Ovis aries: one gene and its partners. The protein of the gene in region 2 interacts with the protein of the main gene of each other region in a pairwise test. Links are inferred from orthologs where the notes say so. Each region holds a gene or a part of one and is shown on either strand. Other genes may lie near its edges.

Region 1 (4,282 bases), on a different chromosome or scaffold from region 2:
TTCTTTTTCAAAGGTATCTTCCAACCTCTCCTCCAAAACTGACTCAGACAGCTACGCTGAAGTGAATGATGTGATCACCCAAATATCCTCCAAAGTGCAGATACAAGATATTACTACGGAATTACACTGCCCATTGTGTAATGACTGGTTTTGTGATCCACTAATGCTAAGCTGTGGCCACAACTTCTGCCAATCTTGTATCCAAAAGTTTTGGAAGCAGCAAGCAAATGAAACATTCTGTCCTGAGTGTAAGATGTTATGTCAATACAGCAACTGTACTTTTAATCTTGTACTGGAGAAGCTGGTAGAGAAGATTAAGAAGCTACCCCTGCTCAAGGGCCATCCACGGTGCCCAGAGCATGGAGAGAACCTGAAACTGTTCAGTAAGCCAGATGGGAGACTAATATGCTTTCAATGCAAAGATGCTCGATTGTCTGTAGGGCAGTCTAAAGAATTCCTGCAGATCTCTGATGCTGTCCGTTTCTTCACGGTGGGTGAGCCCTGGGTCTTGAACAGTCTTGAGCAATTCCTTAGGAAGGCTGGGAAAAACTGTTGGACTTCTTCTTTCAATACCACCCCTCATTCAAGTGATTATTAGAAAGCTCAGAGTGCTCAAAAAATACAACGTATCTTGCAAAGTTCTTTCTCTGTAGTTGTCAATTATAGGGAAGCAGTAAAGGAGCTCTGGCCTACTTCCTCAATCAATCAAACATTTACCTGAACCTTGCCTTGACAGCATTCTACTAGGCACTGTACAGAACATGGACATGTAAAATAATGCTTTTGTTACTGAAGTCTTGAAATGCAGTCAAGTTTAAAGTGAACAAAACAACAGAAGGGATATAAGACAGTCTACTGTTGAGAGCTAAATTTTTGTCACATTTGTTTCAGAGATTAGAGAAAACTGAAATAGTCAGGGGAGGCATGGTGAAAGAAAGCTTGAAGGGGGGGCAATTATTTGAATTTGGATGGGTAGAAGGAAGAAACGAGTGTTCTGAGAACAATGTAAGTAAAAGTAGAGATAGCAAGAACAGTGTAAATATAGTAGAAAGTGTACAGAGTTCTGTTATCTTCCTCAAAGCCCTGTAGTTAGCTAAGAAGAAGATAAAACTTAGTTTTTCTGCAGTTTGTAATTTTCTTCACAATTTTTGGAAGAGACAGGAATTATCATATAAGGGAAAAGGAAACTTTTGTAGTGGGAGCTTGCTTTCTTTCCCCCTGACACCCTGGGGCTTTGGGGTAGATGTTCTTCATGGCCCTTCATCTCCCAATTAGCATGGGTTAATTCTTTATGGTATCCCCAGGAGGAGCTTACCATCCATCAGGGTCAACTGGAGGCAGCCCGGAAGGAGCTTCTGTCCCTGAAGAATATGCAGAAGGATGCTATCGCTGCTCACAAGGTGAGGAGCAGGGTAGAGGGGTCATGAGACAGAACTGGACTTGTACCCTCCTTGTAACTTCAGCTATGTGGGTGGAAAGGTACCTTTACATATACAACAACATGCTAAATGGCATCTGGCCTTAGAAGTAGAAAACAGACACTGTAGAGTGGAAAGAAATACGGCAGTGGAGTAGGTTCCCAATAGCTGATCAACAGAGAGAGCAGACTGACCTTTCCCCTAGATAAGCTGATCCTTTTCATGGTGCAGTCCCTAGGTGATTGCTCTGGGGCTGTGATCTGTCTGATCTTTCCTATTATCTATCGTAAAATAAGGAATTCATTTTTAAAAAATCCACTAAAGATTGTGATGTTCAAAGAAATAACTTTCTTTCCTTTGGGCTTAAAACCAGGCCTCTCTGAACCAAGGTCTCTTAGACTGCTGGCTTTTCTCTGTGATCTAATCCTTCTTAGCTTCTCCCAAACTAAATAAAACTACTGCTTATACTTTCAACTTCACAGGAGCTCTAGGGCAACATTAATGGTTAGGGACTTGGCAAATCAGTTCCTAGGCTGGGGGAATAATTTGGGAGTTCTGTTTCTTCATTAATTATCCTACAGAGGAGAGTCTTCTCTGGCATTTGGCATCTGGAAGAAGAAACAAATATAATGAGGGAAAGAAGAAGGCTAGATGGAAATAAAGATGTCTCAAGAGAATCGTGTTCCTGTTGTAAGAGTTCTTAGTTCAGCTATTACAGTCAACACTCATTCATTCAACAAATATTTGAGTGGTGCAGCATTATGCTAGATATTGTATTCCAACTATGGTGGGAGACAGATGTTAATTAAATAATCCCACCAATAATGAAACATCACTGTGATAATTACTATAAATGATTATATACAGTATATTAGAGTATATAAATGGAGAGCCTAATCTAGACTGAAGAGGTCACTTATTAAAAATTGAAATTAAAAATTCTTATTAAAAATTGAGAATTGAAAGGATAAGTATTATCTTTAGCCAAGTGAACTGGGTGAGGGGAATATGAAGGAAATGGCCTGTAGAATGTTCTATGAAGAGGAAAGAGCGTTATAGAAAAGTTCTTGAGACAGGAAGCTAGTTACTATGTTAAACAGAAAGAAGGCCAATTAAGATGGATCTTGGTAGGCGAGTTGAGACCAAAAAGGCAGATAAGGCCCAATCATGTAGGCCCTTGTAGATAATGTCATGAATTTTGAATTTTATTCTGTGCATAATTGAGAAGTCATTAAAGGGTTTAAACAGGACGGTCTCATCTCATTTTGAAAGCATCAGTCTGGTGGCTGTGTGGAGTGTGGACTGGAGAAAGGCAATAAGAAGGATAACGGTTAGAAGAAGACTACTGAGGTGGTCCCAGAGAACGATGATGGCTTGGACTAAAATGGCAGTAGAGACCGAAAGAAATAAACGGCTTTAACATATGCTTTGGAAAGAAAAACTGCCTGCATGTGGTGACCGATTAGATGTGAGAGGCGAGTGGTGATATCAAATGGACAACCGGATGTATGGACCTGGAGTTGAGAAGCTGGTCTAGGCTGAAAATAAGAGGTCAGCGTACAGACTGCACTTCAAAGTTGTGAGAGCAGAGGCTATTACCGAGAACGAGAGTGTAGAATGAGAAAGGGAAAGAGCCTAGGACAGAGTATCAAGTAATTTAATATTCAAAGCTTGGTTAGAGACACAACTAACAAATGAGACTGAGAAATAGCGGTGAAATAGGTAACAGGAAAAATGGAAATGTCTGACCTAGAGGACAGTGAGAGTTAAGACTATTTTAAAGAGTACAATTACAGTGCTTGACCACAGACTATAAGCTGGATAAGAGGGGACATGAAGACAGAGAAGCTGAAGAACAGAAACGGAGGGTCAATGAATAGGAGGATTCTATGAAATCCAATAACTGCTGCAACAGTGGAACCTGGGTAAGCAAACATAAAAAGTAATTCTGGGGATGGTACAATTGCCGAGGAAGATAAAACCCTCAATGTGACTAAAAGAATGAGTAGATATAGGTAAAAATCACTAGAAATGATGATGAGGAACTGAGAAGCCAGGATGCCAGATGGCTTGCCCATGAGGAAGCTGAAGTCACCTAGGGAAAGAGCTGCCAGTGTAACGGTTACCGATTTCAAGTGCTGCAGACACCACCCATCTCTGGCTTCTTTTGTATTGTCCTGGCAGCAGGAATGGTGCCTCCTCCGTTCTGATTTCTTGAAAAAGGGCAGTTCTTCCAGCCTCCTCTGGACCCAGTCTAACAGCATCCCTTGGTAGATACTGGTTTGTACTTGTGGATAAAAGGGTATTATTGTTCATTTAAAAGTGTTCGATTAACCCCACAGTCTTATTTAAGATGGCATTGGTTACCACCTCAGTTTTGCAACAGGAACCTAGACATGACTTTTGACTATTCCAACCCTAACTATTAAACTAGCTGGGAAAGACAGAGTAAGTTTCCCAAAGGCCTCCTTTTAGTACAGTTGGATGTTGATATGCAGTGTTTGCATGCGTTTTCCTGTTATGGTATTTCCCAAGTTGTGGGAGTGCTGGTGGTGTGGGCCCCCATCCCTAAATGCTAGTCTCAGTAATTACCATGGTGATGATCATGGAGGTTTCCAGGAAAACAAGCTACATCTGCAGCAACACATCTCCCTGGAGTTTCTAAAGCTGCATCAGTTCCTGCACAGCAAAGAAAAGGACCTTTTAAGTGAGCTCCGAGAAGAGGGGAAAGCCTTGAATGAGGAGATGGAGCTGAATCTGAGCCACATTCAGGAACAGTGTCTCCTAGCCAAGGAGATGTTGGTGAGCATCCAGGGACGGATGGAGCAGCAGAACCCCTTCGACTTTCTCAAAGTGAGACTCCA
Region 2 (3,616 bases):
CCAAAGCATCTGTTTTTCTTTATTCCTTTATTGGCATCCTTTGAGCAGATTTCTTTTTTTTTAATTTTATTTACTTGGCTGCAGTGGGTCTTAATTGCAGCATGTGAGACTCTCTCGGTTGCAGCATGCAGGATCTTTTTTAAAATATAGATGTATTTGGCTGTGCTGGGTCTTCATTGCAGCATATGAGATCCTTTAGTTGTGGCATGCATCCTAGTTCCCTGACCTGGGTTTGAACCCATGCTCCCTACATTGGGAGCACCGAGTCTCAGCCACTGGACCACTAGGAAGTCCCATTTTGAACAGAATTCTTAATTTTAATGAAGTTCTACATATGAATCTTTCCTTTTGCAGTTAGTAATTTTGTGTTCAGAAATCTTTGTCTATCCTAGGTGATGAAGCTCTTCTTCTATTTATTATTTCTTAGAAGCTTTATTATTTTATCTTTCATATTTAGGCCTGTGATTCATCTGGAGTTGATTTTTATGTGTGGGTGAATTAGGGGTTCACTTTGATGGTTCATTTTCCCTCATATGTATATACAGTCAATCAGCAACATTAATAAAAAAAATCACCCTTTGTCCATTACATTTCAGTGGCACCCTTGTTAAATCCGGTCACCATGTGTCTGTGGTGTCTGCGGTGTCTGTTTCTGGACTGCATGGTTTTGACTGAACCTGCTGCAGTAGATAAAAGTTTATGGTCTGAAGTGGTTTAAGTCATATGAAACCTGAGGAGTACGGGGAATGAGAAAGTCAGTCTTTAAATGGAGGGTGTGGATGTATGTGCGTGTGTATGTGCATATCCATATGTGTACTGTACAAGTTTGTGTCTGTGTGACTGTATTATATCTACGTATCTAAATATTTTCTTAGCATCTGTTTGGCCATCAGGGTTTTCTTCTGAGTGCATGTGCATAAATGTATGTGAGCATGCATGCGCATCTCTGAATATCTTAGCAACCTGTGTGTATGCTTGAGTTTGTATTTGATCTTGTGTATTTGATACAGAAGTATCCATCTGTGTGTGTCTCTGTGTAGCAATAGGGTTTTCTTCTTTGCCTGATTTAGTACCCAGGGAAAGAGCCCAATTTATTCTGCTGAGAAAATAGGTAAGTAAGAATGTCTCTTGTAAAAAAAAAAAAAAAAAGAATGTCTCTTGTATACATTTATATTGTAGGAATTAGGATGTGGAATCACAGATACTTAGACACTAGACCTCTCATGTGAAACATGGCAAATCTGAGATCAGAGAGAAAGTGATCTAAGTTCACACAGTGAGTTAGTGCCAAAGTGAATTCAGAATCTAATCTCTGAATTTACAAGCTAGATCTTTCTCTGGTCCCAGACTGCCTTCTGATGTGGTCCAGGCAAAGAAGGCCATGAGAAGAAGGCATGAAGTAGCATCCTTTGCAGAATGTCTAATATTTGAGCTAGAGACACCAGTAAGAACAGAAAACAGAAAAGCAGCTCTTGCTTCTTAGGCAGCTGGACTGAGACAACACATGCGTGTACATCAGGAATGACAAGATATCTGCAGTTGGAGGCTGAGGGATACTTCAGTCTGCTAAGAAAACACTCAGGGTGTCCTGAGTTCACACAGTCCTTTTGTATGAGGTCTGGAGGCTGCCCCTGACTGGCTGGGTCACTTTACACTGTTCGCTGCAATAAAGGATGATATGACCTTTGGGTTTTGTGTAGGGGGGGAACCTTGAGAACATCAGGTGAGGACTCAACCTGAAACTGAAATGCCTGGGAAAACAGACTGTCAGGCTAAGGAAGGTGCATAAAAAAATTTGCAATGTGCAGAAGTACTTGAGAAAGGTCTGACCTCAATAGGGAAGGGAAGGGGAGAAGGGGAGGACAGAGAGAAGGTTGTCAGGCAGGCAGTAGCTAGATCTTAAACTGCCTGGATACAATGTAGGCATTCGGATTCTCCCTTAGGAAAGTTACAGAAGCAAGGGAATAATAGGATGAGGCACGTGCGTGCGCATGTGTGAGTGTGTGTGTGTGTGTGTGTGTGTGAAACCATTCTGGGTGCAGTGTGGAGAAGGGAATGGAAGAGTAAAAGCAGAGCAACAAGACTCGTTAGAGTCAGTTCCTGTCCACAGGTAAGGTGTGACAGTGGCTTGATGAGACCACAGGGTGGTGGTAATAAAAGTAGAGAAAATACCTGGACTTCAAAGATCTGTACCATTTGGTGATTGGTGGGATGTGCTTGCTTAGTCAACGGGATGGATGGGGAGGACAGGAAGACAGCAGGTTTGTACAGAATAGGAATTCCATACTAGACGTGTTGAACCTGAAATGGGAGTTATCTCATGACCACAGCTCTTTTCCACCCTATCCTTGCTTTCATAGGAATGCTTCAAAATGGCAAGAAATTCGATTCATCCAGAGACAGAAACAAGCCTTTCAAGTTCAGAATTGGCAAACAGGAAGTCATCAAGGGTTTTGAAGAGGGCGCAGCCCAGGTAAGAAGAGGATCCTTGTTAAGGGGAGTTTGAGCAGCTAGGGGTCTGGGCTCTGCACTCTGCCCTCCACCCTCCCCCATCACAGACCATCACTGCTTTGACTCCACTGCCAGGGCTTGGCAATGCCACCTAGTTTCAGTCCTGGCTTTGTGTCCCCACCCCTTTTGTTGCCTGTCACTTGGGGCTGTCTTCCCAAGCACATCCCTCCAGTTCTGAGCAAGCCTGTGAGCTACTAGCTGTTCAGGACTGAAACAGCAGAAGAGGTGGGGTAGGCTACTGTTTAGGGTTTTTTTTAACTTAAAAAAAAAAAGCACTAGTTTCAGACTTGCAAAAATATTATATGAGTAGAGTTCTCATATACTCTTTACCCAGCTTCCCTAAATGTTGTTTTACATAACCATAGTACCGTGAACAAAATCAGGACATTAACATTGATATAATGCTATTAGCCAATCTGTTCAAATTTTTGAGTCAGTTATTCAAAATTTAAAAATTGATTATTCAGATTTCACCAGTTGTCCCACTAATGCCAGACAAATCCTTGAGGACTGCTGTGATGAGCCCTGGTTCAGGCTCTTCTTCCTTCCTCTATGAAGTCACGTGATGTTCCTTGCTGTGCCTTCTAATCTCTTAATCTAATGAATTGGTCCTAGCACCTACATGAGTATATACATGCATATATGGTCTTTACACATCCTCTTTAGGCTTCTTTGAAAGAAGGAAAAATTATGAACAGATTGAAGTGTTGAGGTGTACTCTAATTGAATAACCAGCATTGTTTGCTAAATCAATGAATTTGAGCCTACAGTGTTGAAGTTACTGTCCGTAGTTACGTCTCTGCTAGTCTCACATGCAATCTGCCTTGGTTACAACTCTTAGCATCACTTCAGTGTGCCACATATAAAATTCATCTCAGATCTTCAGGGTTACCATGAGGATGGTTTGGGAAAATGACAGTTACCTTACTCTTTTCTTTTAAATCAAGCTGGGTCCTCTTTCTCCTCTCCCCATCTGCCCCCATCCCTGCTAGATGAGCTTGGGGCAGAGGGCGAAGCTGACCTGCACTCCTGATGTGGCATATGGAGCCACAGGCCACCCCGGTGTCATCCCTCCCAATGCCACCCTCATCTTTGACGTGGAGCT
Region 3 (4,325 bases), on a different chromosome or scaffold from region 2:
AGCCCACCAGGCTCCCCAGTCCCTGGGACTCTCCAGGCAGGAAAACTGGAGTGGGTTGCCATTTCCTTCTCCAAGGCATAAAAGTGAAAAGTGAAAGTGAAGTCACTCAGTGGTGTCCAACTCTTAGCGACCCCATGGGCTACAGTCTACCAGGCTCCTCCATCCATGGGATTGTCCAGGCAAGAATACTGGAGTGGGGTGCCATTGCCTTCTCCAAGAATATACTACATGTCTGGTCAAATTCACCATTATGGCCTTTTAATGACTAACAGTTTGACTTTTTTTTTTTTTTTAAAGCAGGACAGTTATCCATAATCTGTAACCATTTTATGTAGGTGTGCAGGTTGTTAATACTCCCTGGGCTACCAAAAAAACAGAGAAAAAAATGCTCCCCCTCCCAAAAAAAGGTAAGAACTACATTCTCTCCATTCCTAACTCCATTAACATTTCTGAACCAACAACATTCTCGGATTAAGTGAATAAAACAGAAAGGAGCAAGGGCAGACAGACGAGTGATAAAGGGTTTGAGAGTTTCTGTATTAAAACTAAAATTTAGAGGGAAAGGCATGTTTTCCTTTTAGATGTTCATGCCACACCACACCAAAAAAATTCCCCTGCTCCATCAAGCTACCTCCTTCAAGGTCATTTATCATCAGCACAACAGCCTACGGATGTTTTATTAAAAGAAAAATCCCAGCCTAGGACTGCCAGATCTCTACCCACGACCCACTTATCAAAGGTGTCGCTGGGGCTGACAGGCAGCTGTCCAGGGGCACAGACTTAACATTACTTTATATGTACAGAAGCCCATCAGCAAGCACATTACCTCGGTCCCCATTAAGTATTCTGATAACACCACCTCCATGAGCTCCGCTAACATTTAAGCCTGCAGGAAGCCCTTGAGTGCACAGAGCCTTCCAAAATTTTCTAGCTAATTTTAACCCTATAGAGTATGAAAAAAAACTGAATTTAGAGATTACACAGCAACTAAATATTTTACCCACCCAAACAAAAGCTTTCACAGTACTGAGAAACATCTTTTCATGTGGCTTTTTATTAGTTATTAGAAAACGATATCGTTTTTCACTAAAAAATAAATAAATAAATAAAGGTAAACTGTCTTACTAGCAGGCTTAAAATACTCCTGATGAGCAAGGTTTTCCTGAACTGGTTCTTTAGAGCTGGGTGGTGGAGCAGTAGTACCACCAACAGCATATGTAATGGTGCATGACTCGCAGCTATTAGATCAAATCACTGGCCAATCTGAAGTGTACCCTGGATTTTATTCTTTCTAAAGCCCCTACCCCCAAGCAAAAGTGAGTGCAAAAAAAAAAAAAAAATAGAAGAGCTAAATGGAAAAACAGGCCACTTAGAATGCTCTTGAACAAATGTACTGTTTTCACTCGTTCGGGACCCAAATACATCATCTAGGCTCTTTTCGCACCTAAAAGTTGCTATCTGGTTAATATTTCAAAACCTAAGTCTCGCTCTAATTGTCTGTGACTGTGGGGTAATTGCAAGTGGGCACCGACAGCTTTTTCACTGTTGGGGAAAGAAGAGACACGAGAAGCTGCAGTCTTTGGCGGGGGGATGGGAGGTGGAGGGAATCCTGGAAGGGAATATCCTTCGGAGAGGAGGAGGCAAGTGCAGAGAAAGGAAAGACCGAGAGGATGCTGTAAACGCTAACACGGCGATTCTTAACCAGAAGTTACGACATTTTCTTTTGCCAAGGGGCTCTCCAGTCCCAGCTTCGAGGGGACCAAAGCCTCAGCCAGGGAAGTATCTGCAGCGTTCGAACAAATCGGCGACAGGAAGGAGCAGTGCCAAGGGGTACTTAAGGAGAAAAAACTGTATTAGTGCGAAGCCAACCTTTGCCTGCTGCCACTCAGTGTGGAAATTCCAGGCAGCCTCCCTGCCCTTACACACACGCGCACACACACACACACTTTGCTGCACTCAGCGTTCAATAAGCCAACATTTAGAGAACGACGCGTTCGCGAGGTCCCTCGCCGCCCCCGCGTGCGCGTGCACAGACACTCACTTCCCATCCCTTCCACGTTCTGCGAGCAGTCTCAGCACCACCAACGGCCCGAACCCAGGCACCGCGAGGTCCACGGAGACGACGCTCTCTCCCCTGAGCAGCACCTCGACTTGGGGGCAGTCTCGGGGCACGTCCTGCACCCGCCTCCCCGACCCCGGCAACGCCAACTGCGCGAATCCCCGGGATGCGTGACTGCGCGCGGGTCTAACGCGAAAGCCGAGAAACCGCGCCGCGGCGGGATTCCGGGCAACAACCGCGTCCCCGCTGGTCCCCGCTCCGCACCGCGCACTCCGTCTGCACTGTGCCCCGGCTGCCCCGAAGGTCCCAGCCTCGCCGACCGGTCAGGCCGGATCGGCAGCCCCCGAGTCTCCAGACTCCCGCTGCTCCGGGGCTCCCGATCTCAGCGCCCTGGGACCAAGCCGGTGCGCCGCCGGCCGCTCTTCGCGCTCCGGCCACGCTCGGTCTCCGGGCTTTACACGCGGGCGCACAGACACGCACCCTCCCTTCCCTCGCCCCGGCACGCACACTTGCGCCCCCCGGGAGTTGCCCGCCTCCTCCCGCACCGCCAGAGGCAGCCCCCTACGCGCCCGCGCGTCCCACTGCCGGGAGCCGGCCAGTGGATGCCCCGGCTCCCTCTAGCCGCCCCCCCTCCGGGGAACCCGAGACGCGCGGCGCTTACAGTTCGCAGGAACTGGATCTCATCTTCGCCCTCGCCCCCATCGGCCATGGCTCTGCTCCTTCTCGCAGGGGCCGGCCCCCGAACCCCGCGGAGCCCGGCGTCGCTGGCGGCGGCGGTCCCTCGCTCTGTCTGCTGCTGCTGCTGTTTCTGCTGCCGGGAGCCGGGGGCGGGAGGGGTCCGAGGCTGCTGGGTGCCGAGCGCCAGGCGGTCCCCGCCTGCAGAGCGGAGGAGGAGGCCGGCGGGCGGGGGCGGCGGAGGCGGGAGCCTCCCTGCGCCGCACTGTGCGGGAGGAGGGCGACCCGGCCCGGAGGACGCGGGCAAGCGGCCCCGCAGCCCCGCCGCGCTGGCTTCGCACGCCCCGCCTGCCGCAGGCGGACTGCTCGGCCCCGGCTCCTCCGAGCGAGTGCGCTGAGCTGGCGGAGCCCGGGTGAGTGCCGCGGTGGGGGCGGGGAGTGGGGGCGGACGGGCGGGGAGGAGCTCGCCGGCTCCCCTCTGCTGCAGGTAATCCGCAGCCCGCTCCTCGGGGCCACCAAATCCGAGGCCCAGCGCCGCTTACTGGCCGCTCCGGGTATCGGAGCCGGAGCGCAGCCGATGAGCGCGCAACCTTCCAGCGGCGCCCTTCTTGTTTCCCTGGGCTCCTGCACCTGCGGCTTCTGACCTTAAACCAGCTCTCACGATTGCTTCTCCTGCGGGAGCGGAAGGGACTCCCACAGTACTTTCCGCGGCACTTCAGATCTCAAGCAAGAATCATCTTTCACCCGGATGCCCGGAGTGGATCACCTCCAAGTAAAGGTGATTTTAAACTTAGATTAGTTCTGTTCCCCGATCATCATGAGAATTCATTAGGATCTAGTGTCGGTGCACCATGCTCCTCACAGATCAGACACACAAAATGCATGGTACATAGAACTGTAACAAACTCATTCAACAAATACATGGTGAATCCCTGTGCCAGATACTGGAGAATAAACAGACCGGAGTTTACACTCTATTAGAAGTGCTTAACTATGGATTGCGATAAGCTATGAGATATCAGTATGAATCATTGAGGCCGTCTAAATTCGGAATATGGTACTCTCTGTCCTCACTATACAGCCATTTACTTCTGAAGAAAGTCGAGCGTTTCACCACAAGTATCAATATGTAGTTCCTGCAATCCTCCGTGCAATTACCCACCAAATTGCCGTTTAACAAAATTGCTGTAAGAAAACGCAGGGTCTGAGAGAATTTGGACAGGAAAGCACTTATCTCTTGTTCCTAGTGCACGATTCCTTCATTTACGGTACTTTAAGTATATACAAACCAAAGACTGCAAATGTCAATCCTCCAAAGATTCAGACGCTGTCAGGTGGTTTGTCATCAGTTTACCTACACTGCGCGTTTTGTAGCATATAACTGGTTACTAAGATCTGCATAGTAGATTCTATGCACCTTATATGCTATTTTCAGCTTTCATGAACTTTATACTTACTGAGCCAGTTTTGCATATTTCCAGTAGAATGAATAACATAAAGAATATGCTTATAAATACTGTCCCTCTTGGTGAGATTAGCAATGCTCTGCTCTATTTTATGATACTAATCATATTACCGAAGTTCTTGACAT

Evidence for each region.
Region 1: the proteins of FKBP1B (region 2) and E3 ubiquitin-protein ligase TRIM69 interact in binary tests that used the Homo sapiens proteins (3 or more experiments, as listed by UniProt). The two-hybrid records come from large-scale screens. The link is inferred for Ovis aries from reciprocal best matches to the Homo sapiens genes FKBP1B and TRIM69.
Region 3: the proteins of FKBP1B (region 2) and RYR2 interact in binary tests that used the Homo sapiens proteins (3 or more experiments, as listed by UniProt). The link is inferred for Ovis aries from reciprocal best matches to the Homo sapiens genes FKBP1B and RYR2.

Annotation. Positions count from the first base shown.
Region 1 is NC_056060.1:101,156,022-101,160,303, forward strand, and holds the start of E3 ubiquitin-protein ligase TRIM69, read left to right. Parts: upstream 1-1,427; 5' UTR 1,428-3,902; coding exon 3,903-4,271; intron 4,272-4,282. Other genes in the region: E3 ubiquitin-protein ligase TRIM69-like, read left to right, coding at 1-494, 1,276-1,427.
Region 2 is NC_056056.1:31,733,504-31,737,119, forward strand, and holds part of FKBP1B (peptidyl-prolyl cis-trans isomerase FKBP1B), read left to right. Parts: intron 1-2,360; coding exon 2,361-2,473; intron 2,474-3,458; coding exon of another isoform or gene 3,459-3,503; coding exon 3,504-3,616. UniProt on the Homo sapiens protein: Has the potential to contribute to the immunosuppressive and toxic effects of FK506 and rapamycin. PPIases accelerate the folding of proteins. It catalyzes the cis-trans isomerization of proline imidic peptide bonds in oligopeptides.
Region 3 is NC_056078.1:9,035,040-9,039,364, reverse strand, and holds the start of RYR2 (ryanodine receptor 2), read right to left. Parts: upstream 2,853-4,325; 5' UTR 2,769-2,852; coding exon 2,721-2,768; intron 1-2,720. UniProt on the Homo sapiens protein: Cytosolic calcium-activated calcium channel that mediates the release of Ca(2+) from the sarcoplasmic reticulum into the cytosol and thereby plays a key role in triggering cardiac muscle contraction. Aberrant channel activation can lead to cardiac arrhythmia.